Linked DNA regions of Oreochromis niloticus. The protein of the gene in region 1 interacts with the protein of each later gene in a pairwise test. Links are inferred from orthologs where the notes say so. Each region holds a gene or a part of one and is shown in the gene's direction. Other genes may lie near its edges. The genes, in order: pin1, dab1b, cnksr1 and ankrd40.

Region 1 (7,224 bases):
AAGGTAAAGAGCAGTGTGTGTGAAGAACTGCTTCTTTACAGTGCATGCATGTGACTAACTGCTGTGTTATTATTAATTATTATTTAGTAGTATTAGTAGTAATGGTATTACAACAGAGTTTTAGGCTTGGTTTGCTGTATATAGTGTGGTGTGTTTTGTTAGAAAGTACTGTATAAAGATTTAGAATATTATGTCACTTTTGACCTCTGACCTCTCCCTCAAGGTCAAAGTGATAATAATACAATGCAGAGCTATTGCAAACTTTCTTACTGCTATTGTTTGTATTGACAGCATATAGAGAATGATAACTGGGGATTGTAATTATCACATTACTTTGGACCTTTGATCTCTTTTTCAAGGTCAAATAAGGTAAAACTTGCCTTTTATTTTTAAAAATGATTCAAATTCTTATATTGGCTACAGTTTGGAAATGATACTAGTATATGGGGATTCTAAATATCTTCACATTTGACCTCTTCCCTCATTCGGCAGTTGTTGTCTTTCCACAGCTGTGCCACGACTGTCCCCTCATTCTTTTCTTTCTTTGATGCAGTTTTAGTAAAAGGTTTACATCAATGTCAGCTGTCAATGGCTAAAGCTCTGAAGTGTTGAGAGACACAATAGTATCCATGTCCAAGAAGACTGAGTCTATAAGTAAGGTCTCCATGGCAGCAGGATTTCGCTCTCACTCTGCCAAAAGTGCCGCTTCCACTTCAAACACGTTGGACGGCTTTGTTCAGTGCAGACATGTTCTTACACACCAAAGGAAAATGTTTGATTATGGGGCTGGTTTTGTGCCCACATCTGTATTGTAATGCTAAATCTGAAATCTAAAACAGAGTTGCGGGCCATGGCACTTCTCTGTAGTAGCAGCATTTATTTAGCTGCAACAAAGGTCAAAGTATCAATGCCACAGGCTTCCTGACATGTAGAACTTCTGCAAAAATAGTTTACACAATACACCTTATATGTATTCACACTGATGCAGTGAACAAGCAGGTGTTTTTTGTGCTATAGCTGTCTTATCTGATCAGTACACTACAGAAAGGTTTCTAAAATAAAAGTACATGTTAGATGCACAAAGGTCTTATAATTTCCTCTGAAATGTGGTCCAGTACGAGTGTAATGTGGTAAAGAATGGTTTAAAATATCGAGGTTAAACATATAGTGTACAGGGAGGTTTAGCGCTGGCTTTTCCCCCCCATCATTAAACAATAAAAGATACTTCAGAGTCAGCGCAATAGCTTTAGAAACCACCTTTTTTAAAACTAAATCATTAAACTTTGTTTCATACAAATTCCCCCTGGTTGCTAACCCCAGCTCTCAGTCTGAGAACTGCTGCCAAAGCTGATTAATCAGCCAGTATCATTTTTTTTAGTCCAAGCACTTTTTTTTGTTGTTGAAAACAGCATGCGTGTAAATCTAGCTTCTGCAATGCGTATATGCGATAAACTCATTAGCCATACTGGTCTTATGTACAGAGGTAAAGCTACGTCTAATTAAAAGTTTGTGGAGGAGTTGGAGCAGAAGGCCCCTAGAAAACCTGATGGTGTCCATTTGCCTCCACTGAAATTATTCATATACATCCCCACGTGAATGATGTTGGATGCACAGCCATAGGCAAATATCATTGCCAAGTTCCACTGATAAGTTTGTAGGTCCCATTGGCACCAATTAAACCCTTCTACTTACTACCACCAACATCAAAAGCAACTAACTCCATGTTTTTTTGCATGCTTTTGCCCAACACTTTACCTTCATCCAGTAAGCTGGAAAGCAAAGAGTAATTTGGAAAAGTGTTAGCGATGCATAAGGTTTCCCAGTCTCACCCAGTATGAGAAAATAATTAATGGACAAAAAAGACCAGCACTCACTCTCACAGTCAGGTAAATATCAGTTTTATTTCCAAAATATAAAAAAAAACAACAACAACATCTCTTTCACAAAGTGATTTGAGAGGAAAAATTAAAACTCCATTGTTGCTGTGTGACTGTCGCTCTCGCTCCATCTTGTTGTGTGAGACCTTCAATTGTGTGTGTGTGTTTGTAGCAAGAAACATCTTTACATCTGTACATCTGACTTGTAGTTCTCCTCTTGCTTACTGGTAGTACAGCTCAAGGTTCATCCCATCATGGATTTCATCTGGAGAGTTTTTGGTTAAGTGCAACAAGTGATCTGGATACAGCAGCTATCGGTTCTGCTGATTCTGAGAGGTACAAATTTACACGCATTACAAAAATGCTTCAGCTGTTTTAATTAGAGAAAAATAAGTGCTGCAGTTATCTTGATCTCTAAATCAATAAAAAACATTTTTTTACCAATTTAAACAATTTATGGATACATTCATGTTATGGATCATTGTGAGTGCAATAAAAGGAACTGCAGTTGTTCTGTGAGGGTGTAATAACGTCACGGTCATGATCATTATTAAATTAAAGGTAATGTAACTAAAACCACATAAGTACAACTACAGGAAAAACCCTTTAAAGGATACAGTCACCCAGAGACACGTGGTCCTTGAATATGGTGTACCTGTGGAAAACAAAGGACAACATTTAGGTCCAAATAGATGAGTTATTTGTCATCAAGCACATCAAATCCCATTTGAGCAGCTCACCATTTCTTTAGCACGATCTTATCATGCCGTGTTCCTGTCTGGGCAGCTATGAGCTTCTTCAGATCTCCGATGGTATCCTCAGAGCTGAAACACCGAAGTTAAGGAAGGAGCAGTGTAACAGCTTGGAAAACATCCAGAGCTTTAACAAATGCGTGGTTAAAAAAAATCTGAGTGTTGTCTGCTAGTATCATTTTGTTTCTTTTGATCTGCAGATGGACGGCGCAGCAGCTTTGGATGCTCTGCTTTCCTCAGTCAAAACACACAGGATGGCTAAAGTATTCTATCTAAACTGGTCCAACTCTCTCTGTAGCCCCATGACAGACTGCCTCCGAACCCATTATAGGCCAAAAACGTCTAACACTTGACCAAACAAGATCCCTTCAAGCTGCGACACCCAGAAGTTACTGAAAATCATCAGACTTTTAGTTGATTGTCAAGTGGCGTTCATTCAAGTGGTATTATATCTGCTGTCAAGTGATGGCAAATAGTGGCAAGCACCATTTTTAAACATCATTTGATGATAATAAACATAAATAGCGTCACATATTAAAAGGTAAAAGAACCTGAAAGACCAAAATGTAAGATACTGACTTTTTGTTTTTAATAAAGTTCACTTACAAGCTGAAACCTCAAATATGACTATTATAATAACCCACAGACTTTCAATTGTGGGTTTCTGTATTAACGGAATGAAATAAGTCATAAGAAGTAATCAGCATGGGTGCCAAGACAAACAGTGACACTGAATTTTAGTCTTCTAACATACTCCAGAAACTCACATGTTAATAGATTCATTGTAAAACTATTCCCCACACCATTCTATAATATAAATGGGCCTTACTTGCACCTTAAAATTAAGTCCATAATTTCAGAGCAGGGGTGCTGTGAAAGCAGATGCTGATGAATGCTGTACTGTTAAACATCCCGACTTATGTTAACTCATCTCAAGACATCCCAGATGTCCGCACCTAAAACATGATTTTGACATGTGTGCTGAGAGACAATATTCAGCATTATTTTCAGAGTTTCAGCAAAGGATACTTGCACTTGACCCGGACTTTCTTGCCTAGACGGTCGTTGCAAACCACTTCAATCATCTTTATGTCTGCAGAAAAGAGGAAGAGATGAGACAACGTTAGACAAATGAAGGTATTAGATTATAAAGTAGATGATAACCCTAGTGAGTTTATTTTATACAAGATTGGCTGGAAATCACAGCCACAGAAATCTAGTGAAATCAGCCAGGTTGTTTTGTTTAGCTAACGTTAGCTGTAGCTCACAACACCACGTTAATGTAAAACAAACGGGACTTATATTTAAATACACTCATGGGCAGCTTTATGAGGTCAAAATCCGAAACATTATGATACCGTATAAAAACCACACGTTGAAGCTGTCATCCTTACCTTGAACTGTACAGCAGAAAAAAACAATTATTTCCTTCGCTGATATTTTCTGGAAACCTCTCGGTCCTGCTTACCGTAAAGCTGGTTTAGTTGCGAATTCGCCTTCCTACCAATCAAATGAGGACTACGATGATTGGCGATCTCGCTAGACCTATCACAGAACAAAAACCCCACCAAAGGCGGACCTAATACTGAAAACAACTTGTACCATAAACATCAGGCCAACTGTCGTAATCTGCCTAGCTGCAGCTTGGTTCGTCACACGGCTTCTAGATTGAAATCAAATTTGAAAACGCTGCTGCAGAAAGCAACATGGCAGACGAGGAGAACCTACCGTCCGGATGGGAGAAAAGAATGAGCCGCAATTCAGGTGATAAAACACGAGCCACAAGAAGCTAAGTGTCCTAAATAGTGAGCTAAAGTGGAGTGTATAGTGAACTTAGCTCAGTAGCTAGCAACCTCAGCATCGTGCATTAGTGCTGAAACGAGGTTGGACTGACGTGTTTAATCACTGCAGTCTAAAAGCAGCGAGGGGTTAGTCGCTGCTGTCAATGTCTTTATTTAATGGTGGCGTTTTCTCAGCTTGTTTTAGGCACCTTAGCTTCATTATCGCGCCAAAGCTGATTCATTCAACCTGGCTGCGGCAGGGCCCTGCATGACGTCAGCCCGCCCCAGCGCCTCACCTGCAGATTGAACGAGTCCCAGCAGTAGGACGCTTTTCAGAATGCTAAACTTATGCGTCCTCTCTCCTCCCTCCTCACGTGACACAGGTTATCGTCATAGCTCTCGTGCTGTGGTGTTTTGTAAGGACCAGTCAATTCTAATACACACAGTTACACGGAGAAACACTAATATTTAATATACAATTAACTTAAATGTTTTAGTATCCCTCAAAGAAGCAAATTGCTTCAAAAAAAGAAAGCAGTTACTGTGAGGTGAACATTGCTGGGGTCGTTGCTCAAAGTCTTAAACATTACTTGTCACTTTTATTTATTTGTTTTTGTTTCATTTTGCATTACCTAATTACTCCCTGGAGAAAGTAATTTGTTAAACTACTCGTTATACTTTGCGTTACTCCACCGCAACATGACTGACAGCATGTTGTGATGCATTATAAGCCTTAGGCTACAGCCCCACACAGTGACTCAAACCCCTATCATAACAGAGGCCGTAAGATTTTATTTAATTTAATTTAATTTTTGTAGTGATAACACGTGGCAAAGTTGAAAACCAACTCAAGGAGCCTTCAGAACAACCACCACACCGATTCTACTGTAGAAACATGTACAGGTAGAAATGGAGGCTGGGCCTGATGGCTCATCACTCTGGCTGCTGACTAAGGGTCAGGATACACTGACTCTAGGTTCTTCACCGTGAAGATGTTTGTAAAGAGATGTTGCGTTAACAGTATAATGCAGCAGTTTCTGCTCTGGATGCAGTTTGCGATTCGTGATCTCATCCTTTCATGCAGTGAAATGGCCACATCGCCACTTCTCAAATGTTGTAAACTGCTCCACCATTTTCCTCCTCCCTGCAAAAATCTGAACTCACCTGACAGCAGCACAGGAAGAAAACTGCTGGTTTGATTTTTTTTTCCCCCTCTTTCAATCTGCCCATTGCTGAGATAATTGAATAACCTTTGCAAAGCAAATAGTGATGCAGTTGCTGAAATTAGTACAGTGATATGTTACAGTACTGCCTGTCTCAAAGAGTAATGTGATTACAGTACCTTGTTACCTTCTAGCCTGTTATATCAACGACTAATAACGATAAGTAAGGAAGTAACAATAACGCAAGTAAATTTTATTTATAAAAGGTAAATATTTGGAAGATATAAAATAAAAAATACTAATAATTGGTTATTTATTTTTTGTAGCATATCTAAAGATGGCACATGAGAGATTATTTTTATTTAAATTGGCCTATTAGAGATTTGAATGACTTTCAGACTTTGAAGGAGAAGCTGCTCTAAGCTTTGAAATCGTTCTTAAATGAGGGCTCGTGTGGGAGTCTGTGAGTTGGACAGGTGGCCCAGCTGTGCACCGTGACTCACTCTACACTGACGATGAAACCACAAAGTTCTCATTTAGCAACAGCAGCTCCTCCATCGACACGTACCTCCTTCACATCTCTCTGAGATGGCTAGGAAGAGCCGTCTCCTAGTGCTAGCAACTAGTTGCCAGCTAGTACTGGACAACAAGTTAATTGCTTTATATGAAGATGGAGCCTGACCAAAGGAAGAAAGGAGGCGTGCTTGAGTCATGGAAAGCACCCAAAGCATATAAAAGCTGGGCAGAGCCACTTTAATGTCACCCCGTGGTTTGTGGGCACCAGCTTTGAAACTTGCAGTGTGGCAGTTGGGCTTTCACCATCTTGGTCTTATGAAACCACACATGAAAATGTTAGCACTGCAAAAGAGGTGATCAGTGAACATTAGCGGTAGCAAGCTTGCATGTCAGAGCGTATACCATTTAACAGTTTACATGGATTATTTGCAAAGATAAAAACAGTCGAGCAGCGCAGTCAGCCTTTTGCTCAATGAGTCTCTAATCCTGAGGATAAACTCGAATTTCATGATGTTGGACTGCAGCTGGCAACAGTACCTGTTGTTCTTGCTGTTTAAGGTCGCAGGTCATGTTACAGTGATCCTTTCCATGTCCACTCCAGTATGGTGGATATGTTTCTGTTGAGAAGCAGGCTGACACAATGTCAAGCAAAACTGCTGCTATATAAATATGAGGTGTGAAGGTCCAGGGCTGGTTAGAAGGGGATTGGCCTAATAAATGAATCAGTGGTCCATGAAAACAGTCTTAAAATAAGAATTACTTTTAAAACAGAAGAAACCAAACAGTTGACTCAGTGTTTAAGTACGATCGAATGCTAAACTAGAGAAAGGTGCTTCTTTTAAAAGTGTATGGCCTCAGCAGCATTTTTTTTTCTTTTACACTTTTTTGCTGAAAGGCCGAGAAGGATTCAAAGGTGATTCTTCTATGAAGTCAGCCTGTGATATTTATTTTCTCCTGTGCAGATGGCCTGTAATGTCTAACATAAAAGGCTTCGATCATAGTTGTAAACTCACACAATAAGCTTTTTTTAGTCAGTTTTGGTCATTGTGGCTTTTTGATAGCATCTCTGATGCTCTTCTCTCATTACCTTTATTTACAGTCTTGGCAGGAAGCAGTTTGGTTGGTTTTTTTGTTT
Region 2 (7,960 bases), on another chromosome or scaffold:
GTATCCTCCACGCTGAAGCTAGACTAACTGCTTCCATGCTGCCACTTGTTATTCTGCATACAGTATGCTCCAGTGTGGTTCAAGTGATGGCTGGATATAAATTCCAGCAGCATCACAAAAATCCTCAAATCCCCGCTACCACCCCACCCATTCACTTCACTGCTGATAGTTTAAAATTCAATATTCACGCACGGTGGGAAAAAAATAAAAAATCCAAGGTTAGTTAGAAAACACAGACGCCTTGTTACACTGACACTAATATAAAGCTACGGTATGTAGATCTTCTTTCGACCTAGATAGAAATCGAAGATGGGGTTTCATCTTCACAAATTAGTGCGTGCATCTGGATTTGCATGGTCTGATTATTTCAAGATTTATCAGCAAGATTTTCTCCAGACCTCTTTGACCTTGAAAAGACAGCTGCTCCGGCTGCATGAGATTAACAAGCCGGTGTTGTGGTGTTCTTGGTTGAGAAACAAAAATGGCTTAGAGCAAGACAACAAGGGTAAAGGTGTGGCACGATACTGAAACAAAGTTAAAGCCCCCCTGAGCATCGGCACTGCATCTGTTCAGTTGCATGAATCCTAATGCTGATTCACTACCTTTTTGTAGCTTTTCATTTCTTGACTGCTGCTTCAAGGTCACAACACTTAATCCTTTGAGACTGAAGGATCAGTTAATATTAAAGCAGTATTAACTGATTTTTTTTTTCCTGTTTGTTTTGAGCAATATAGGGCAGTGGAGCAAGCTGTTTTCAGCAATGACATAAAACGTGGATATGTCACAGATGTTAGCAAACAGCTGCCTTTTGAAAGCACACAAAATTTAATTTGGAGACATGCTGGCATGCAAATGTTTCCGCTCAAGCCAAAGAAGAAGTGCTTGAAGAGCATTTCATGCCTCCCATTTCCCCATGTGGTCTCAGCATGATCGTGTTGAATAGGACCATACTCAGACCACACTGACTCGGTATGATCTCAGTCAATAAGTTATGATTTTTAAAAGTTTCTGGGTCTACATTGATGGACAGTTGTGGACTTGAACAAATAGTCGACTTGCATGCATTTCCATACCATACTTCCCAACAGAAACACATTGCACTACTTCCAAAGACATGCTAACTACCACAAAACAGAACAAAAAACCCAAAAATACTACTATAAAATGATATTAGATTAGAGGATGGATGAGTCCATTAACTGTTTAGGAAATACAGCCATTTTTATGCACACTTTCTCATGTCTTTATGCGTTCAGTCTTGTATTTAATAACTCTATCGGGTTGAGATCCAGTGACTGACTTGGCCATTGAAGAATATCCCATGTCCTTCCTTTGAGAAACTCCTGGGTTGCTTTTTTCCATATGCTTTGGCTCATGATCCACTTTTGTGACATGCTGTCTGATCACTTTTGAATCTGAGCAGAGAGTGCAGCACTGTACACTTCACAATTCATCCTGCTACTTCTATCAGCAATCACATCATTAGCAGCCATATCTTCCCATGCCATATTACTGCCTCCACCGTGTTTGACAGATGATGCGCTATACTTAAAATCATGAGTTGTTTCTCACCGTCTCCATGCTGTTGTCTTCCTGTCATTTTGGTTATGCATAAATAAAAGTATGGTTTCATCTTTCCAGAACTGTGTCAGCTCTTCAGATGTTTCTTTTAGATTTTGCTTTTCATTTCAAAAATGTACCAAATTCTTGATATATTTGTATAAAAATGGCTGTAATTCCTAAACAGTTAATTCACTATTTTTATAAACCCACTTCAATTAAACTTCAAAGTCTCGCCTTCAATCACACCATGGTTTTTTGATTCAAAATCCACCGTGAAAGCGTGCAGAGGCAAAACTAGAAAAAATGTGCCTTTGAGCAAAAAACTATTGACCTAACTACAGTAGCAGTGCAGTCCCAGCTCATCTACACAATAATTGATAGTCACATTGAACAACTTGCTCATTTCCTTCAATAATAAATATGAGCACTACCACAGGTGTTCTGTCTCAGTCCCCTGAGAAGTGTGCCCTCTAGACCCACAGCCGATGGAGTACATCATGATTACCCGTGGTACCGGAAATGAAGTGGCCCGGGGTGAGAGCGATAAAAGGAGTGGAACTTCTCAGCAGCCGGAGTAGTCAGAGTCAGGGGTCACATGTCATTTATCGATGTCAGGCTTTGCCCCGCCGTGCCTCTCTGAATGCTAATCGCTCACGCTCTGCTGTGACAATACGATTAGACTTGATTAAAACAGTCTATTAGCATAGAACCCACAGGCTGGGCAAACATCCTTCTTTCCTGGAAAACATGCTCACTCTGAGTGTCAAAACTGCAACTGACTGGACGTGCACTTACTGTTCGTGTTTTTGGCAACCTTCATGCCCAGAATCAGAGGCAAATCAGCACTCTGTCTGTACAATAACCTTTTTCTTTGTCCTTGAAATACATATCGTGACCCCAAAGCTGCCGCTCTGACTAAAACCGGGAACTAATTATTGATCAGCTTTCATGCTGAGGTTTTGCAAGGTAGCCACCAGTTACCCATCTCCCCTTAGGGAGCTGACTAATCAGGGTGCGGCGATGAGAATTTTGACTTAACTAATCTCTGGATTGAATGGAGATTAAACGCCACGTGGGCTGACGGCTCTCCTCTTTGTCTTTTTTGTCTGGACGGGGATCTGTTCTCCTTATCTTATCACCCTGCCTCATTTCTCCAGGGCAGTTCCCTGCCGTTATCAACGTGGCTCCATCTACATGGAAATCAAAGCCTTTCCAGAAGTGGAATACGATTAGGGAGGGGGAGAAAAGTCTAATCTTTCCCCTTTTGGTTCATGCCACCAAAAAACCTATGATGAGCCGAGCAAATGAACAACAAACACTCCCTGTTATTCTTAATTTAGGGACTGCGTGTGTATTTGCCTAAAGAGAGCCTGTGGAGAGGGGTTTGTTAATGCTGACTGGTTGACAATGGTTGGGAACAGGGAATTGGGGAATTGACAATGGCTGCAGTGGACCCTTTAATCATTTGTAACTCTCAGTTTCACTTCAGCTCTTTATATAACTTCACTCTTCTCTGTGGATGACTGACTGGCCATCAGTAACACAAACAATAGTTGCCCACAGACCAGTTGTACCACATATTTTTGACATTGCCCCCATCTGATAACATGTGCTTGCTGCAGGTGGACATTCAACCCACAGCTGCCAATGCGTTACCACCGCTGAACCATAATTTCCCCTTTACAGTGGAGGTGGATGGATGGGTGAACAAGGTGGCACAAAAGTGACGAGTTCCTGCGTAACTGCGAAGCATTTCATCTGCGAGGCTCCTTTTTGTCTCTGGGCCTTGGAAATGAGGATTAACTCTCGCCTCACAGGACACAGCTGCCTGATTCCACTCCTGACACTGACCTCCTTTGTTTCTTTTTAATGACCAAAGAGTAGATGACTGTGTGTGTGTTTGTGTGCTTGTTTGTGTGTGTGTGTCCAGTAGCAGGGGTGTCCGATAAAGAGAGGGAGGTTTACAGAGGGGATTAAAACCCAAACAGCAGCTTCCCTCCCTGGTAAACAAAAGTACATGGGGATGTGCAGTGTGTGTGTGTGTGTGTGTGTGTGTGTGTGTGTGTGCCACTGCTCGTGACACCAGACAAAAAGAGGAAGACTGAGTCCATCTGTGAAAGCAGCAGGATTAAGCTGTGCTCAAGCCAGGAGCTACACGTCAATCAACCACTAAGTGTTTGTGCGTGTTCTTGTGCCAATGTGCATGTGCATATGTGTGTGTGTGTGTGTGTGTGTGTGTGTGTGTGTCACATGCACAACTGTACATCCACATACATGTGCTCTTCTGATCCCACAGCGAGGACCCCAACTTTGCTGAATTCGTTCGGAATCTGTGGGATGGAGCGAAGCCAGCGATACGTCAGTCACCCAACAAAAAAAAAGAGACAAACTTTATTTTTTGTGAAATGTGTGAACTCAGTTGGCACCCGAGCATGAATCGTATGTGGCTGACATCTCCCTCAAACTGTAATGTGGGATGAAGAAGATGCTTCAAAGTGCTTCAAAAACAACTTTGACAACAAGACGGCTGACAAAGTAACTAAACAATAATAATAAAATAACATAAATTCATTCTGCAGGAATGTTCTACATCATGAGCGTGCAGTCAGTCCCCCCAACACAGGTCACCCCCTCTCAATGGTTGCTGGTGCTCTGTCTGTCTTTGAGAAGCTTGTTGTCTCCCTGTCAGGACCCCCGACTGTTTGCCCATAATGCACCACCACTCCTGCATGGCACCCTGTGAGGGGTGGTGGTGGAGGGCAAGTCTGAAGCCTTCAATGCGCAGGCCACAAAGACCAAAGGTAGGCGTGTGCTTGGAGAGGTGGGGGGCTTGACCTGGATGTTCCTCAATAAAGGACCTTGAAGGCAGGGGGTCATTACGCCTGCATGAGCCGGTGAGCGAACCTGGCTTTCTCCCCTTGACAATCTGAAGGGGTAAATTAAAATCAATACAGCCTATGATGAGGCGACTGCAGTGAGACAGGGGTGAGGGAAGGTAGGAGGTGGGGGACAGAGAGAGAGAGAGAGCTTGGACTTGATGGATGGCTGGTTAAAGGGGGATGATCAATTACCCTGATGGATTGCTTTTTGGGGATCTCTGAAATGAGACGGATCTCTGCTCTTTAAAGGCAAATTCAGAAGGAATGGAGGCTCCACTCCAGTTTGCATGAGAGCCCTGCAAGGCAGGAATATTATTCACTTACATCTTTGTTGTTGTGAGAAGTGGCAACTGGTCCCTCCTCCTCTCCAGAATCCTTTATTTTTCGAAAATGTTTAATCCCCTTCGTCCCCTCCCCCCTCCACACATTCTCCCTCCAACGGATCCCCTCTCTACATTATTCTCTGTGCATTTTAATTTTTTTTCCCTTCTTCTGTCACCGGGGGCCCAGTTTTTCCCCGCCTACTCTCCTCATTTAAGCTTGAAACTAGAATACTCGAGCCAAGAAATAGTTAATCTCTCCGGCTGCTGCTATGATTGGCCGCTGTATGCAGCGCTTCAGCCTCCTTGAATGAGAAATAGGGGTAACCAAGCAACTTCAGTGCTGGAGAGAAGAAGATAAAAAAAGCAAAAAGATGATAGGGCTTTACGGGATTTTCACAATGATGGAAGAATTTTGAAGCTGTTAACAGAAGAAAGAAAAAAAGAGGCAGAGGCAATGTGATTTCACCTTGAGTGTCCGGCAAATGGAATTAACAAATGGATTTTCTTAAACGCGCTTCCTCCCTCTCTCTCCCTCTCTCGCTCATTGAGGGGGGGAAATAGAGCGCTCAAATGAAGGAGACACAGATGTGGATTAAAACGCACAAATGGGACACTTCAGAAAAGCATCCACTGAGAAAAGGTGAGTAACATCTCAGCTTTTCTTTCTTTTTTGGGAGGGGTGTGCGGTGAAGAGGTGCTTCAGCATTAAACTGTGAAACTACAGAGCTGTTTAAGGATGCAAGGCAGCTCAGCGACATGTCAAGATTTATGGATAGGATGCGTTGAATGAAAATGGGAACCAGTCCGCTGTGGATGACCGGGATACAAACACATACAGAGTGAAAAAGAAAGAAAGAAAAAGGGAAAGAGAAATAAATGTGATCATGAAGCTGTGAACCTGATCGTCGGTGCTGCTTTGATGGATTTGAATGTGGAGTCCGCTGAAGCGCAAACGCCGGTTGCCTGTCAAATAACCCGCTGTCCCACGTCGAATTGCGCATAAATTACAAAGTGACGTTTGGGTTTTGATTGTTTTTAAACGATTTCAGCGCGTTAGCTGCTCACGGGGGCTTTTGGCTGTGGGATTTCGTGTAAAGGAACAAGTGTGAGAACAGGCGAAATCTTTTTTTTCTTCTCCCCACCACGTCTGTTGCTCTCCCTCCCTCCACAAATATTCAAATGAAGAGATGTTCTGCTGCAACAGCAGTAAGTCATTCTCAAACGAGTGCGTGTTAGCCCGCTCCGATGCTGAGCGAATGGATGAATGATGACGCATATGTTGATAAATGTATTGATTTCAGTGCGGAAGCGGTCAGGGAATGCTCGGTGGGCTGCAGTAGTAGGGGCTGAGTACCTGTGGATGAACGGTTGGATGGGAGCGCACAGCGCACAACGGCGCCGGTCTGTCCGGCAGCGGTGAGCCAAAATGTGCCAGAAAAACCAGTGCGTGGGCCTTCAGTGTGAGTCCTCCGGTCAGCAGCGACGTTCGTGGGTCAGTGTGGAGGTGGAAGCATTCCAGTTAGTCTTGGAAGACGTGGATGAGGTGGGTGGGGGGTAGCGTGAGACACGACTTCCATTTGCGTCATTTAAAATTTTTTATTTTATTTTTTATGTTGATTTTTAATATATGTCTGGATTTGTAGGACTTACTTGTGTTGTATAAGCATGGCTAAACTTTGGTTATTTTATTTTTGTAAAGTCTGCTATCAATCTTGGTTCTATATTTAAAGATAACCCTAGACAACAAGGTGCATCCCTGGTCCACAGGCATGTCTTTATTAATTAAAAAGAACCACATATAGACAAAATATAGTTTTTTGTGTTAAATCATTCAATAGAACAGGCTGCTGTCCTGGCTGTTTATTATTTTGTTTTTCATAATCATAACCTCTCAAACCCAAACCCCCTCCCCCTTTGGGTAAAATTGAATTGGAGCCAATGTTACCAGTTCAAATGCAAAGTTCATTACTGGACCATATGTCAGTCATGATGCTCTGTGTTTTCTACATGGGTGCTTGTGTGAGAGCAATCGTAAATGATGGGAAATGAGCATTGTAGTGGAAATGTAGTAACACAGCAGCCATCAGCTACAGACCAGGGTGCTGCTGAAACACTGTGGCTCACCTGCATCTTGTTTATGTCGTGGTTTGGTGGGATAAAAGTGAAGGTCTGGGGCTAGGATTCTCACGCTGGTGCCAAAGTTCACTGGCGATTTCTGCAAGTCGCCCAAACTATCCTTCGTAATCTCCTTAGTGAGGATGCTCTGCAACAGAGCCTAAGCTGTGCTCAGTAGCTCGATCGTGGGATGGATGTGTTACCACTCACACACACACATGCTACAATTTCCAGTTGTCACCCCCAGACATTTCTTTGCAGCCCAGTGTGAATTGTGAGGCTTAAGATAGAGCTCAACAAAACACTAGAGAGCATTAACTTCTCCAGTAAGGCCTTCTTTGTTGGGTCTCCCAGTGGAATCAAGGCGCTTCATTTAGCTCCTGAAAGCGAAAGCAGCCGGTGCATATGGTGGATATAGCTTATCCAATTAAGACCATAATGAATTTTCCCCTTTTGCATTTGGAGGAAAGGTGGTTTGGGTATTTCTTCTCTGTATTAACTCTTCACGATTGCATTGCAGCAGTGTTGGAGCAATTTCAGCTTGTTGTTTTTTTGCACTTCTTAAATCTTTGGGCTTTTTCACCCCTTTGCTGTACCGTGCCACACTCTGCTTCTCTTCTTTTGTTTCTGCTGAAAGCCTGGTGGATTATCGCATTTGTAGTTTCTCTTCATCTCGCAGCGGCATTACCTCAACGTGAACTACCAAGTGTTCTGAGGTAATGCGTCTAACGAACAGGGCCTCGCATTGACACTAATGCAAAGTTTCAGACTCAGACACACGACTCCTGGAGTGGCCTGAATCTTTTATAAAAAAGTAGCTTTAATGAGCAAGATTGTGCCTGAGTTCTGATTTTTGCTGGCGGCCTTATCACATTTAGTCTGTTCATTAATAAAGATGTGGCCCCTGGCAGAGGCAGGTCAGGGGTGACCTCGCTTGCCGGAGTTGAACAAAAAGGGGGAGATTGCTCCGATAGCGGTGTATTGTAGAAAGCTGAATGATGCACACGTTCGCCCCCCACCACCACCCGCCACCCTCCTGGGAGTGTAATCACCATGACAGGTGCAGGGAAGGTTGGGGCA
Region 3 (7,723 bases), on another chromosome or scaffold:
TCCGTCTCAGTCAAATCAAGCAAATTGGGTGGTTGTTACATTAAAAAAGTCTGACTTGTAATTTGAACACAATAATATCATGTTTCTATAAACGTAATTAAATCATGAAGGATCTGTATGAAATTCAACAACTTAATTTGTTCTTGTTGAGATGACATGATACAATCTAGTAAGAGTGGTTAGTTGCTGATCTCATGAAATTCACAAGATCGCACGAGATGTCAAACTGCAGGGAAATCACTGGAGTTATAAGAGGCAGACAACTACACACACACCACGTGTATGCTGTCGCTATTTATTGTGGATTAACCTGTCAAGGACAAAAACGTACAACAAAATTCTGCATCAAGCCTTGAAATCATAGCTTTCCTACTTTTGTTAAGTCCGGATTGTTGGCATGGTGGTTAGTGCTGTTGCTTCACAGTAAGACGATCCTGGGTTCAAATCCACAATCTGGCTAGTTTGGACTGGTTTCTCTCTGGGTATTCTGGTTTCTTCCCACAGTTAAAAGTCATGCAGTTGTTAGGTTAATTGGTGATTCTAAATTACCTGTCAATGTAAGTGCAAATGGTTGTTTGTGATAGACTTGTGAGTTGTCCAGGGTGTACCCTGCTTCACAACCTATCACTTCAGAGTTATTTCCCAGCCCCCCTGCAACCAGGATAAAGAAAGGAGGATGGTAGTTGTTTAGATCCATTCAATTTTTATGGTAACCAGGATCTAGACTTTGTTGAACATTATATAATATGAAGAGAACATGTAGTATTTAAGTGACCAAGTAGTATTGGGGTATAAGTTATTGAATAGTGTTGAAATAAAATGACAAAATTGTGAAGGATTAAAATATTCCAAGAGCTCAACTTACTTCATCTAAACATGTTTCAATCGCGTTTTATGAACTCAAAATGCACGTTTATTGAATATGAAAAAGTTGTGTTGATTGAACTCAATTGTTTAAGTTTCTGCCAAAGCAAAACGTTTGTGTGCAACCAATGTCCACTATTGAATCAAGTAAATCCAACATGGCCTTTTTTTCAGTGTAGTGTTACAGCAGTGCACAACACAGCAGCGATAAACGACACTGCTATTCCTGCTAACAGCATCCACTATATACAGGTCTAAATGTAACACTCCGGGTGTGTCAGATTTCAGTCGAGGTACTCATGAAATCTGAGATAATAATTCCTTTCTTTTAACCAAGCTGCCACTGAACAAATTAATTAGCTGCTCAATAGTGAAGCAAGGGTAATTATCCAATCTCTGCAGAATGACTATAGAAGGACAAGATGCAGTTGTAATGACTGAAAATACATCCTGCCTTTGTGCCGTACATAACTCATGAACAAAGAGAAGAAAGAGTTATTATATTTCAAACATCTGTGGAATTTCCATTAAGAAATAGCTAAAAGGACAGAATGACTAAGGATAAAGCCCACTGGCAATACTGATTGGACATAGAAATGTATAAAAGAGAATCAAGCAGAGTCAAAATACTTTAATAATCCCTAACTAAATAATGTGGGTTATAGTTACTCCAAGAAAAGAGTGAGGAGTAAAGAAGAGAAGACAGGTTATAGAGGTTATATGACACAGACACTTTGTTTTACACTAACAGCTTGTATACCTCTCCGGTCTACAAACAGCAAATCTTCACTGTCGAGTAAAAAAACAGCATGTTGAGGCTTGAAGTTGTAGCCCAGGTATTTGGGCTGGGCCAGTAGGTGGGCCAAGGACATGCCTTCACAAAAATATATATATAAACAAAAACAATCCCAGAGACCAAAGTCAGCACGAACAAACAACTATCAAAGATTGTGATGTCAGTCAGTTTCAGTGAGACAAGTAACCCACTTAAAGTCAAAAGTCACAATGCTAAAGGCTATTATTAGGTTTTTGTAGACTGGAAAACAGGAAAGCCAAAGAACAGCTTAAGTGATCCATGTCCAATAAAAGTGCTCTTTCTAAATAATAATAAAAAAGCCCCAAAACACTACAGGATAGCCTTTACAGGACTTGATCTCAGAGCAGTACTGGGGACAAGTTCAGACTTGATTTGTTAGGCTAGTAGAGTCATGTGTTACACACAAGTTTGTTTCTTCTTCCTCTCACATTTTCAGCTGAGAACATCTTAACCCAGCAAGAGTTGTATCAGCTGTACTGACCAAGTGTGTCTACACATACAAGTAGTTTGGCTCTGGTTATTTCTTTGCTATCAGTGCACGTAATAGAATATACAACAGACAGTTCTGACAGTAACAACAGCGGTTCAGTCAGCAATAATGACGACATCTCTACTGCACTGGGAGGCTGCAGTTTTCTTTTTTTCCCCCCTTTACTTTAAAACTATTTATTTCAGGTGTTGTAATAAGTTACAGTTTAAAATAAGGAGTCCATATTTAAGAAGTATTTATTTACCCCCCCCCCCCCCCCAAACATACAAAAACCAGAAAAACTGACAAAACATACACCCGTAGGCCACTTTATTAGGTACACCCTGCTATTTGATTCCCTACTGTCTTTAGAATTGCTTTTAATTATTCATGGTATAGAAAGGTGCAGGAAAGAAATTCTGATCCATATTGACATGATAGGATCACACAGTTGCTGCAGATTGAAACTACCCCATCCCAAAGGTGCTCTATTGGATTAGATTTGGTGACTATCTGGCCATTTGAGTACAGCGAACTTACCGTCATGTTCAAGAATCCAGTTTAAGATCTTAATCCAATAGGTTTGAGCTTTATGACAATCCTCCTGGAAGCAGTCATTAGAATATGGGTTTACTGTGGTCATAAATGTGCTGCACCAGCAGCCAGAAGTGCTGATAAAAGGCAGGATGGGTGCATTTTGCTTTGCTTTTATTTGTGCCAAATTCAACCAAATTTACCAAAGTCAAGACTTTGGTGCATTCGGAAATGCTCTTTGGTATACTGTGGCTGTAACCACTGGGTATTTAAGTTACTATTACTGTTCTATAATTTCAAAACGATGTGGCCATTCTCCAGCAAGACATTTTCAGCCAGAGATTTGTTGCTCACTGGATATCTCCAAAAGTTGATTCTGTTCATCTGGACGTTGCTTTTTCAGTGGGAGAAATGTTTCGTCACTCATCCAAGTGACTTCTTCAGTCTCAGCTGAATGCAGGTTTCCCCAATCTTATAAACAGTACATTTGCATAATGACTGGGGAAAGACTGGGGAAACCTGCAGGCAGCTGAGACTGAAGAAGTCACTTGGATGAGTGACGAAACATTTCTCCCACTGAAAAAGCAACGTCCAGATGAACAGAATCAACTTTTGGAGATTTACTTTCCTGGATGATTGAGAATCCATCAAGATGCTCACTGGATATTTTCTCTTCTTCAAATCATTGTCTGTTAACTGTAGACATGGTCATGTGGGGAACATCCCAGTCAATCAGCAGTTTCTGAAATACTCACACCCGCCTGTCCGGCACCAACAAACTTGTCATTTTTAAAGTCACTTCAGTGACTTTTCTTCGTCATCCTTAGATGCTTTTGAACATCAGCAGGTCTTCTTGACCACGTCTGCATACCTAAATGCACTTAGTTGTTGCCACGTCTTTGGCTGATTAGACATTTGCATTAACAAGCAGATGAACATGTGTACCTAACTGAGTGGCCACTGATCATATATGCCACATGGATATGGGCACAATGCCATTTTGCCTACTGACATATGAGGTCAGTTTTCCCTCTGCCTCTTTCTCTTGGTTCAAAGAGGATAACAGCAGGGGGTGCCAGATATCAGAGGGCAGCTCTTTGATGCCAGTAGCCTTTCCATCAGGTGTTGCCCTTTAGCACACTTGATCAAAGTACATTTTGATCTAGAGCACACATTCTCACAGTGCTGTTTTGTCCTCACGGTTTTCTTTAAGAGATTATTTACTGTAGAATTGAAGCCTATGGTGAAGAAATAAGAAGCCAAAGGGGCCATATTAAAATAGATAACTGCATCATATATTCAGCTTGATGCATTATAATAATCTGTGCGGTTTCATGTGGGTCAAAAATGTGTTTACAAATAAGCTAAGATATTTCTTCCTCCAGGAGGATGATTTATTTATACCATAAATAAATGAGCAAGCGGAAAATGTCTGACACTGTAAAACTACTGGACATTATTACAATATTTATAAAGTTATAGCAATGTCACGTAAACCTATCCATAGCTAAAAATAACTAGTCAGCTGAGTTCAAATGATAAAAAAAGGAAACATTTCCGGAAAATTCCCGGGAGAACCGGCTAACAGTTATTCTTGGAAGAGAGGATTAAGTCTGCTGCTCAGTGAACAAGTTACAGTTTCTGTGTATTTCAGCAATTTAGGAGCTTTAAGAAAAAGGAAATCAGCAATGGTGTGTCATAATATTTCTATAAACCTAATTTTCTACACAGCAACTGCTGTTTTTTTCTGTGGAAAATCAAAAGGTTGAATCAGGTCCAGCCAAAAGTAGCGCAGGGCTATTACAGGATTATCGCATTGTTATTATATTGCATTGTACCTTTGTTGAGGTGTTGTGTGCAATACATACTTCCACATTGCTGCATGAGTCGTGCGCCTTTTTTTTTGAGCGACGACGTGAGCTGCGCATGAAAGTAAAGTATGAGGGAAGTTCTGAAATCTTAAAGCCGCAGTAAACACACTATTCCTTCAGGTAAGGAAGGGGTGGGGGATAGGTGGGAGGGGTCTTGCTCCTGGTGGAGGCTGACAGTTCCGTGTTATTGGCTGACAGCAGGTGGGAGACTCTTACCTGTACCTGAGAGAAGGAGTGCCAGTCGTCGTCGTCGTCTGATTCCGAATCAGGATCTACTTTTTCTTCTTCCAGCCACCCTGAGAGGTAGAAATCGGCCAGGACCGCTGGGAACTGAACGAGCGACTGCAACAGGACTCCGAGCATGGAGCCTATACCGTCGTGGAGCGAGGAGAGAGTGAGCAAGTGGCTCCAAGGTGAGACACATATTGCTTTTTCCTTGTCTAACGCCTTGATCACAGGTACTTTGGCTCGCACGGTAATGTTAGAAATAGAATCGCCACACAAATCCTCTTGGAAGTGGAAGGTGGAGGTGGAATGAGGAAGTGGCCCGTGCAGAGGGAGAAGCCAAAACAGTGTAGCTCTGATCAGTGTCAACAACTAAAGTAGAAACAATAGTTTACATGAATGCCTGTCATCTACTTATATTATTTAGATCTCGTCATATAAACAGGCTTACCCATTTGGTATGTTAAAATGTGTTAAAGTAGTGGTGGAAAGTAACTGAGCACAGCTTTAAGGTCATTGATTAACTTTAATATTTTGATTTTATGGTAGGCTCCTTTTTTTGTCATTATAAACATTACTTTTTTAATGGATTACAGTTGACAAGGAGTCACTCTATATATTATACAGCTTTAACAGCAAAAGTACATTTTGCTGTAAATACTTTCATTTTAGTGTTAATTTAAAAGCAGTATTTGAGTATTTAAAAGCAGATTAAAGTATTCTTACATATTACTGATATATTATAGTGATATATATACAGAAGTGTCAATGATTTCCATGCTTTAGAGATAATTCTAAATGTCATGTTTTTGACTTGTGCTTTTTACTGATGTGGTTTTGATCATAAATCATAGCTTAATTTAATACACAGTTAATAGCACAGTTAATACACATAATACTGGTATTACTTTGGTGCCAGTGTATCGTTCAGATATCAGTAAACTACTCGTGTTTCACAGTCATGTCTTTACTTTTTCACACTTAATTACTCAACATGTGGTAGAGAAGAAGGAGAAGACCATTTTCAAGCCTGCACATGCACAGGACTTTATGAGTATGTGGACTTTTCCACTTATACTTTTGCCATGTGTGCAGCTAAAGCCTGTTGTTTTTTGTGCCCTTCGGCAAGGTTTGGATGCTCCCCTGCATCAGTATCCAGTTGCACAGTGGCATCTATCAGGTGTGGACCTGCTCCAGTTGACTTCTCAGGACCTGGAGGAGTTGGGAGTCCATAAGATTGGACACCAGGAGCTTATACTGGAGGCTGTGGAGAAACTGTGCTCTCTGGTGAGCGAGCAATGAGAATTACATATTATAATACATGTAGACAGTGATGCTGAGTGTGTCTCAGAGTATCTTTTGTCATGTTTTTGCTGTGCTATGGATTGTAACGGTGCAGTAATCATGCTATCATGTTCTGGTGCGTATGTTCTGATACAGCAGCACAGAGATATAATTTTGCCTCACTGCTGTGTTTTTTACACCTTATTTTTGTTTGCACAGTGGAATGAGCAGCTGTCGGTCAATCAGTTGCAAATCTAGCCAGAACATACAGCCAGTACTTGACTTTTCTGTCACTTTTACAACAATCCAACATATCACAGTAAAATACTTACTTTGGTTTTCTAGCTAAGATCAAAGGACTAGTCATGCATCAGCTGTAAGCAAAGCAGATTTAGAATACAAAAGCTTGGCCCTAATAGTTTGCATGCAAATTTTAGGGAAATCGTGCAGTCAACTAAAAAAAAAAACACTTATGCATTCCCTTTGATTCTCTGTCCCATTTTTTCTGCTGCATAATTATTTTCCCTGCTTGTCCAATTTTAAGAGCAAGTTTTAGGAGACTTAAATTGTGTGTGTGTGTGTGTGTGTGTGTGTGTGTGTGTGTGTGTGTGTGTGTGTGTGTATGTGTGTGTGTGTGTGTGTGTGTGTGTGGAGGGGACTCCAGAATGGCCTTAGGACTAATTGAGGAGGACAGTACCAGGCCGGGTTCCAGCTCTTGTGGCGTAACAGCCTGTAAACATCAGCCTAAGACTCAGGCTGCTTAAACTGCTGAAATAACTAATACTGATTAGTCATTACAGCATGAACAGTTCAAACCCAAAGTCTGCGCGAATGAGGGTGCAACAGTTTAGTAAAAGCTTTACTTTTCAAGCTTCCATTATAGTGTGCATGTGACTTCATGTGCTCACTTCCTCTCCTCCCTCCATGACTTAATGCTCCGTGAAGCGCTAACACTGCGCTCATTCATAAAAACACCCATCAGATACTCACATGGAGTAGACCAAACAGATTCACGCGCACGGTTAGATAATTACCAGCTACAGTGTTGAAAAGGCCATGAAAAATTCATGGCCACTTGTTGACAGGCCCGGTGTTCCGGCTGGTTGTGTACCAACAAAGCCTGACCGGTACAAACCTCTTGACCACCGATGAGTGGGTCACGACAATCGCATGCTCCTCCTTCAGTGATTTTAAAGAGTCACGTCTCATGCTGCTGGCCAGCAAACTGTGATGACAAGCATATGAAAGAGATTGTGTTAGTATGTATTGATTTTACTCTTAGTTACAGTTGAATCTATTTGGTTTTTTCCCCCTTTCACTTGTATTGCATTGTACTGTGAGGATTTATCATTTATGCAGTTAAGGGTTCAGGATAGACTGTTTATAAAATAATGTGCTTCTTTTTAATTGCTCTGGGTGGATTAGATCCATATGGGCAGTTTATGAAAAACAGGTGTTTAATGGAATTTTTTTTTATTACTCATTATGGTTCTTTATAATCGCTCAGACAATTGCTAAAATAGCTAAAACAGACATTGCATTATGCATTTTTTCATAACTGCTATAACACAATATCAATACCATGACAAAAGATTACATATAAAATATACACACACAGAGTCATAAAGTGTAACCCTGTAAGAATAAAAGGTTTGAAGT
Region 4 (7,878 bases), on another chromosome or scaffold:
TCGCCCACAATGAGGAAGGCCCCACACACCTCACACACTTCCATCTGTTTCTCCTGGGCGGCAAAGCTCTCGATGGTCTGGATTGAAAGGGCATAAATTTGTGATTAGACATCAAGTCAAAGAATAAGGAACACATTTCTGATTTCCATCATAGCTGCCTGCCCAGCTCGCACAGATTTTACTTTGAGAGTATTAATAAGAAATACAGCTACAGTAAAAAATAACTTTTAGCTCACCAGCTAAGTTTAAACTCATTTTTTGTATTTGAAATGGAATTAAACTTATGTTTCCTGTCTAATAGTAGGTGATGTGCATGTTATGCTATCTTAAGCTGTGTTTGTAGGCTGATTAGCCCAGGGTAAACTGACTCACCGAGGGGGTGGAGCTGAGTAGTTCCCTCTCCTCCTTCAGCTGCTCCACCAGTTTCATCATTCCCTGGGCCTCCTCCACTCGGCCCTCAGAGCCCAGTTCCTCAATCTGACAAAAAGAAAAAAGCCATGTTACAATGTCACGACTTGATTTATGGAGTGCATATAAGAATTTAGGTGGTTTTATTTTAAATAGTGTGATCTGTAATACAGTCAGGAAAAAGCATCTGAAGTGTCATACAGTCTAGAGTACATGCACAAAAACAGCTGTGGTCACAACAGGTAGCTGATCCTATTTGAATGATTTCAAGTCTGAAGTCAGCTTACACTTAGATCAGTGTGAAGAGCAACACCTTTCCTTATTTTCCCAAAGGGTTCAAAATCTCCTTTCACAAATTACATTTGTTTGTTATTCAATTATTTTAAGGAGAAACTGCACAAGTGTGGGTTGCAGTGAACCTCTTGACAGGACAGCCTTTATCAGACTCCAATGTAGTCTTTTCAAATGCATGTACAGTTAGCCATGCAGTCCACATACCTTCTAAATTCACAAATTTTGGTGGAACAGTGAAGCTGCAGAGTAGCAGAGGTAGTTAAAGTAGAGGAGTTTAAATATATGTGATCAACCAGCCGAAGTAATGCAGACCGCACAAGAGAGGTGAAGACATGAGTGTGGACAGAGAGGTGTGGGTAGGAATGAGTGTCAGGGGTGATTTGTAACAGAATGATAGCAGCTACAGTGAAGGGGTAGGATTATCAGATGGTAGTCGCACCTGCTATGATGTATGAGTTAAACTCAGTTTAGAGCTCAAGGAGGCAGAGTTAAAGATATTGAAATATTCATTGGGAGAAACCAGGAAGGAAGACTTATGGATGTAAAGGAGGAGGACATGCAGAGAGTTAGCGTGACAGGGGAGGATGCTAGTAATAAGGTCAGAGGAAGGCAGGTGTTCCACTGTGGCAAGGCATTAGAAGAAGAACTTGTAGGAGACCATCAGATATCCTGATGCAAGAACCCGCGTTCAAATCTTTCAGTTTTTCCTCAAACACTACTAATTTAAAGATTTCGGGCAAACCTGCACAACCAGGTCTTCGATCTTCTCTGTTAGAACCTGGACTTTCTCCTCATTCTTTCCTGATGGACCAGGGCCCTGCAGAATGAATACATGAGTACAACTAAGTTCAATACATCCTAAGCAGAAACATACAGGTAATGTTATTTTCTTTTAGATTCATATCTTGCACTGTGGTCCGAGAAAACATGAAGATGCACAGAGGAGTTTGAGAATGATGTTCTCAAATAAAAGCACGAACCCCTGCATTCTGCTGAGCCTGGGAAAGTGCAAGCCGGGCATGCCCTCTGCGGATCCGCCGCTCCACTTCCGCCAGTAGTGACTGCAGATAGCGCAAGAAATCTCGCTCATAACCCTCCTTCATGAAGCGAGAGCTTTTCTCATACCTGGATATAACGACACAGAATTGGTTAATTATGTGTAAAATATCAAGCCAAAAAAAAAGGAAAGAAAAAGAAAAAAAGCCACAATAAGAACTTACATTTTTCGAAGATTTTCATCATGGATTTTCTCACATGGACCTGGGAACCCAAAACAATAAACATATTATTGTCAAATCTCAAGGGCTTTGTCCAGTTTATAATACATTTTGGGAATACAAAGTTCCCAACTTACCCAAGTCAGAGCGAGTGTTTGTGAATAACTCAGCAGGGCAGAAGCCACACAAATAGTACCGACAGACCTGAATAAAAGAAAACATATCAAACAGTTTTATGTAAATTGTGCCTCCATAGTAGATCACATTGGATTAAGTGACAGCATGTTAGTTAGACCAACTATAAGCAAATGAATGTGGTAGTCGTACAAATTTACCTAATCAATTTCTGCTTGAACTAAGAACACAAAAAATACCCACAACACTGCAAGTGAAACAAAAACACAACAGCATGGAAAACAGTATTTATTATTAATATTAAATATTAATGCCGAATTACATACAAAGCAGCATGTATGTAACCGTATTAAGTCTTCAGACATCGCAATGCCAGTTTATGCAATAAAGCAGAGCATAACCTTTAGAGAACGTAATGTGCAGGTCCTTTCACACATTAGCACATCGAAATCATTTGTATTAACACAGTTAAACTATTAGCCCAACTATACCCAGAAAACAAGTTGCTAAAACTGAAGTGAGCCCTATGAAACCTTTTAAGAATGACCAAATCGTGATGCTAATCTCGCTAACACGCGTGTTCAAGCACCACTGACTCAAACCGCCCGCTTTTCGCCATCGATTCTGTGCGTGAATCGAGAAATTTTAATTTGGAGGCCATACTGCTTAAACTAGCCGATACTCACCGCGCACGCCATGCACGCGTATTTTGGACACCTCACGGTTAATAGGTTTTAAAACTAGCTAAGCTAATGGTAGCTAGAATGCTAACTTACGCTCTCGTCGTCCCACCGTACGTTGGATCGCTTCTCGTCAGGGGCCAAGTTTCTATCTCGACCCATCAACTCGTCGAGTAACTGGGCGGCAGAAAGCATTTTTCTGCGGGAATGTAGCCTTAATTTAAAGTACTACAATAATATCCAGAAGGCCTAACTCACACCATCTGCTGCGCGAAGTGCTTCTAATCAAAATGGCAGACCTTGTAACAACAACGCCCGCTCGCAGTCCGAGTACAACCAGCCCAGGAGCTGCTCCCGCGGCCTCTGAACCGGAAGTACTAGTCTGACCATCGTGTCCAGGATTCAGTTCTCCGTATAGTGCTGCAAACTTTTACCATTGATCAAAAACGGACAAAATATGCAATTTCTATTTGTATTTTGATCAGAAATAGATGTTGCGGCACTGCGTATGTTTGTGCTTTGTTTTATTTTGAAAGTTTACAACGGAAGCAAGTTCAGATTAGTCTGATGAGCTTGGAAAGAAAAGCGTTTGGACTTCTTTAAGGTTCTTGAAGACAAATGCTGCATTGAATAGCCAGATTGTGGTGGTGTATGAAAAGGCTCATCAGAGGATATCACACAAGGACATTCAGAGATGAACTAATGTTATTTTCCACTGGCATTGGCTCTTTATTTGATACTGTAATATATAATGTTTACTTGTTGCTTTTACTCAGTTCCCATCGGTCACACTAAAAACTTCAAACTCAGTGAATGTTGATAACAACAAACACACGTGAAGCTTTCTGACTGCATATTTCACAGATGCAGTGCTATGGCATCATCAAAATCTATCTCAGTGATGCAGATTTTGCCAGATCCGATTACTGCCAGAAATGATTAATAAATGTATACTTTTGTGACTTCAGTGCTGACCAAATATTTATTAAAGCAAGTCCACATAGATTTCCTGTTATTGTCCCCAATGTGTTTTAGTTTTCCTCTGTCACACCAACCCTCTGCATGTCCTCTTTCAGTCCACCATCTATGAACTGTAACTTTGTCTCCTCTCCTTTCATTTAGCCATACATCATAACAGGTTTTACTACCATCTAGTAACTCATTTCAACTCCCTCTGAGTTTCTATGCACCTTTACAGCAACACTCAGAGCAAGCATTGCATCTTCTTACATCCAGTGGTGCCTCCCAAAAATGTTTTATACGGTAGTCATATGGGGGCCACTAAAACTATTGGGCTGGCAGAGCCAAAACAGAATTCACAGTTTTATTATGCTGTTGTCAAATATAATTTCAAATATCATATATTAGTTTTCTGCTAAGAAAGTTAATATCACTGAAAACTAAATAATATTCTGAAATCCTCTTGATCGGCCCTCCGCTCTTCTCAACGTACTTTTTTCACTCATTTGTGCATTTCCACCTCTAACCTTAATCACCCTAAACTGCTATGCATCTTTTCCACATTGATCTCTTACCATAACCAGTTTATACAACTCCTGTTCTCTGTTCTTAGTGTCCAGAGCCTTACATACAATCCACTATTAGCCTTTGCCACTTCTCTTTGCTGTACACCCAGCCTCCCAGTACTCTTGTCTACTTTTTCTTTGTTAACCTCTTCCTTTGAATACTTAGTTGTACTCCCTCACTTTACCACTAAGACTCCTTATCTTCGTTCCTCTCGTCTTCTTGCAATTCCCCTCGCCACTCATAAAGTCTGAAACTGTGATTCTTTAAAATTGCTGCCTTGCAGCTGTAGTATCCCTGGTGTATCTTACACCAAAGTTCAAGTTAGTGTAGTATCGTGGGTGTTTGCTCCCCTCTAGTGGCATACTGAGGAAATTCAGCTTAAAAATGTACTTCAAGTTTAAAACCAGTATTTATAACTTTATTAAAATGGATATAAAAACAAAAGTAACAGGTGTGCTTGGGACAAATAATCAACAGCTGTTTAGGTTTTTCTGGAGTAGCGATTATAAGTGTAGGGAGGTTTATTCCAGCTTGCCTGCAACACGTGTGAGTAAAAAACAGTTGAAGTACTTTGAACTTTTATCTCCCAGTTATTTCCTTATTCATGACAGCCAACGGCAGTATCACACAATTTACGTGGGGAATCGCACGGGCTACGCGATTCCTCGGAGGGGAACTAACATTTGTGCTCACTGTTGTCACATCTAAAGATGCCCCCCCGACGAGGCGGCGGTGTTTTTGGCAGTGCATTGACGGAGCTCTGACACTACTGCTTGATTGAATGAGTTTATAGCGAGTGCATGTGGTGCCACTGTAACGCGAACTAACAGCAGAAACACGCGGCGGGGACACGACTTGACGTGTGAACGCCAGAGACGGTCAACACGTAGTTGAAATAACCAAAGCGATTTGCTGCCATAAGCTAGCACCTCGTCGAGCTAGCCAGTAGGTAAGGTTAGCCTGGTAGCTAATGCTAGCGGTTACCAGTATATTTAGCTAATTAGTATTGGCAACATAATTCGCGTGGCCTTTGCGTGTCCTATGAGCGCACGTCGCTAGCCGTGTGAACCAAAAATGTCCACAAATTCGCTGGATAAAGAGCTACAGGAGCAGCTGAGAGAGGCGTCTGCCATCGGGGATATCGATGAAGTGCGGGCGTTAGTGGAGAGTGGGGTTAATGTCAACTCACAAAACGAAATCAACGGATGGTAAGTGTTTTCACCGATTTATAGTAGTATTTGTTCGGTCGCGACTGCAGCCGGCCAGGAGTTGAGTGCAGTCATTGTAGAGCAGAGCTACAGGGATTAAAAACACTGCTCAGCGTTATCCTATTACGCCAAGCAGGGCTTGTTAATCAGCCAGCGCTGCCACTTTTAGCTTTACTTTAAAACCAGCAAACAAGCAAAGTATTGAGTAAAGTGGCTGCTTCAACCACAAGCTTTTTCTCTTTGCTGTAGCCTGGTTATTGAGTTCGGAAACACAAACCCACCTTTGATTATTACATTTTCACGCATGCGCCCATCATCAGTTACTTTGCACCCATAAAGAACCAAATAGAGTCATATCGAGATTTTGGTTAAGTTTTAAAGTAATATATACATTATTTATATGTTTCCATTTTGTATGCCAGTGCCACACACTATAGTCAGCTTAATGAGAGGTGGTACCACTTGAGTGATACAGTATATTTCTGTTATTATTTTTCCTTTTCTTTTTGTACAACACTAAATTGTCTTGTTTCTCCAATAATCCCTGCAGGACGTGCTTACACTGGGCATGCAAGAGGAATCACAAGCACATAGTGTCCTACTTACTCAGTTGCGGAGCAGACAAAGACATCCTCACAGCAAAGGATGAGTTAGCGTCACAACTGACATCCAAGCCGGAGATCAAAAGACTGTTAGGAGGTAAAGTCAGCATTTCTCACTCTGCTGCTCCCTGTGTCACATCGGTGTAACTGGGCTGGTTACGGCTCAGGCCGTAGAGCGGGTTGTCCACCAGTTGTAGCATCAGTGGATCGATACCGGCTCCTCTGATCTGCATGCTGAAGCTTCCTTGGGCATCCATCAGTGTATGAATGTTAGGAAGTGCTTAGGCATAGATAAAAGTACTGCATGAATGTGTAAGTGCGATTGAGTGAGTGAAGTGTGTATCTATAATCAGTTATAACACTGGGCATTTGTGTTGACACATCTGCGGCAATCTTTGCTATTTTTTCGAGTCTGTTTCCAGGAAATAATGCCCCCTCTTTTGTGATCATTATTGCAACAGTTGAGGTGGAGGAAGTGCCTGAAGTGAAGGAGCCCGAGTTGCCAATCGTCCCCAACTACCTGTCTAACCCGCCCTTTATGTATTCCAAGATGGACAAGAAGTCAGAGGTGATTCACCTTACACAAAACGGTTCTGGAGAGCACGCTGAAGACACGCAGAGTGATTCGGCATCTCTTTCGCCAACGCACGAGCCTCCTCGGAAATCACAGAGCCTCGTCTTTGATGCCTCCGCTCCTTCCTCAAATCCCACCATCAACCACAGCCAAGCCCAGACTGGGGAGTTCATCCCTGTGAACGAGCAGAACGGTGTCTCACCCAGCACGGCTGCTTCCCACAGTCACGCTGTCGTTAACTGCACGGTGCCCATGGACCTATCAGTCGAGCCTCACCTCGTCAACCACGCCGATTACCCGCACACAGTGGTGCACAACGGCACCGTGTGTTCGCCTCCACTGGCCTCACCCAGTCCCAGCTTGGCTAGCAACGGTGGGAGCCAGGTCCAAGCCCCAGTGGCAAGCACAAACCCAACTGTGAGCAGACAGCAGTCCATCCCGCAGCAGCTGAGTTACGGCCAGGCTGGTGGTGCCATGCCAGCCTTCCAGCCTTTCTTTTTCACCAGCACCTTCCCTGTCAATGTACAAGGTGGGTTTACTGAGAATTAAAGATTAAAATAACAGGAAATGTTTATCTCAATTTCAAACACATTAAGTGGGAAGAAACAGCTCCCCTGGTTTACTCTGAAGCTTCGAGGTACAGCACCACAAGTATCAGCACATTTTTCTAATAAACATGACGTGCGGTTTACTTTTTATACATCTTGTTTGATTAATGTTTATGCAAATAGAAATATAAAACCAACAGCATGGATTATTTTCTAGAAACTGCATGCTGTAAGGATTTCTTAGCTGAGAGTAGTAACTTCCTCCTTTGCCTTGAGTTTTCCTGGCAGCTAGCAGAGCCCCATTAAATTACTGCACACTGCTAAACACCTTCTGGTGTCAGGCGTAGCAGGGGTAAGAAAGAACCAGGCTCTTTGACACTTTGTCGGTGAATGTTTTGACAGTAAAACTTTCATGTGGCATGGCAATATGGATATTTGCAGCTGAGTTACTAATAATATCACAGATATAACAACTTAAATTGTCTGCATGATGTCGTCAACCTGTCAAACCAGAAACTGGTCTTTATGACAAAATATAACCAGCATGCTTTCTTTATAAATGTGCTTTCATAAAAACTAAACAGACCCTTTCTTTTCACTTTTTAAATGATCAGTAAATGAACTGTTCAGAAAGAATATTCAGTCTCTCATAGTAGTACAAAGCATTCATAAGGTGCTGCTGTCT

The links.
Region 2: the proteins of pin1 (region 1) and dab1b interact in binary tests that used the Homo sapiens proteins (3 or more experiments, as listed by UniProt). The two-hybrid records come from large-scale screens. The link is inferred for Oreochromis niloticus from reciprocal best matches to the Homo sapiens genes PIN1 and DAB1.
Region 3: the proteins of pin1 (region 1) and cnksr1 interact in binary tests that used the Homo sapiens proteins (3 or more experiments, as listed by UniProt). The two-hybrid records come from large-scale screens. The link is inferred for Oreochromis niloticus from reciprocal best matches to the Homo sapiens genes PIN1 and CNKSR1.
Region 4: the proteins of pin1 (region 1) and ankrd40 interact in binary tests that used the Homo sapiens proteins (3 or more experiments, as listed by UniProt). The two-hybrid records come from large-scale screens. The link is inferred for Oreochromis niloticus from reciprocal best matches to the Homo sapiens genes PIN1 and ANKRD40.

Annotation. Positions count from the first base shown.
Region 1 is NC_031971.2:12,301,446-12,308,669, forward strand, and holds the start of pin1 (peptidyl-prolyl cis-trans isomerase NIMA-interacting 1), read left to right. Parts: upstream 1-4,215; 5' UTR 4,216-4,335; coding exon 4,336-4,393; intron 4,394-7,224. Other genes in the region: ubl5 (ubiquitin-like protein 5), read right to left, coding at 2,099-2,142, 2,495-2,532, 2,618-2,701, 3,659-3,714. UniProt on the Homo sapiens protein: Peptidyl-prolyl cis/trans isomerase (PPIase) that binds to and isomerizes specific phosphorylated Ser/Thr-Pro (pSer/Thr-Pro) motifs.
Region 2 is NC_031982.2:8,798,629-8,806,588, reverse strand, and holds the start of dab1b (DAB adaptor protein 1b), read left to right. Parts: upstream 1-4,953; 5' UTR 4,954-5,405; intron 5,406-6,035; exon of another isoform or gene 6,036-6,308; intron 6,309-7,960. UniProt on the Homo sapiens protein: Signaling adapter of the reelin-mediated signaling pathway, which regulates the migration and differentiation of postmitotic neurons during brain development.
Region 3 is NC_031983.2:14,301,966-14,309,688, reverse strand, and holds the start of cnksr1 (connector enhancer of kinase suppressor of ras 1), read left to right. Parts: upstream 1-4,704; 5' UTR 4,705-4,916; coding exon 4,917-4,968; intron 4,969-5,909; coding exon 5,910-6,067; intron 6,068-7,723. UniProt on the Homo sapiens protein: May function as an adapter protein or regulator of Ras signaling pathways.
Region 4 is NC_031969.2:16,507,137-16,515,014, forward strand, and holds the start of ankrd40 (ankyrin repeat domain-containing protein 40), read left to right. Parts: upstream 1-4,877; 5' UTR 4,878-5,335; coding exon 5,336-5,469; intron 5,470-6,019; coding exon 6,020-6,168; intron 6,169-6,532; coding exon 6,533-7,174; intron 7,175-7,878. Other genes in the region: luc7l3 (luc7-like protein 3), read right to left, coding at 1-77, 373-477, 1,445-1,519, 1,683-1,827, 1,923-1,962, 2,057-2,123, 2,831-2,929.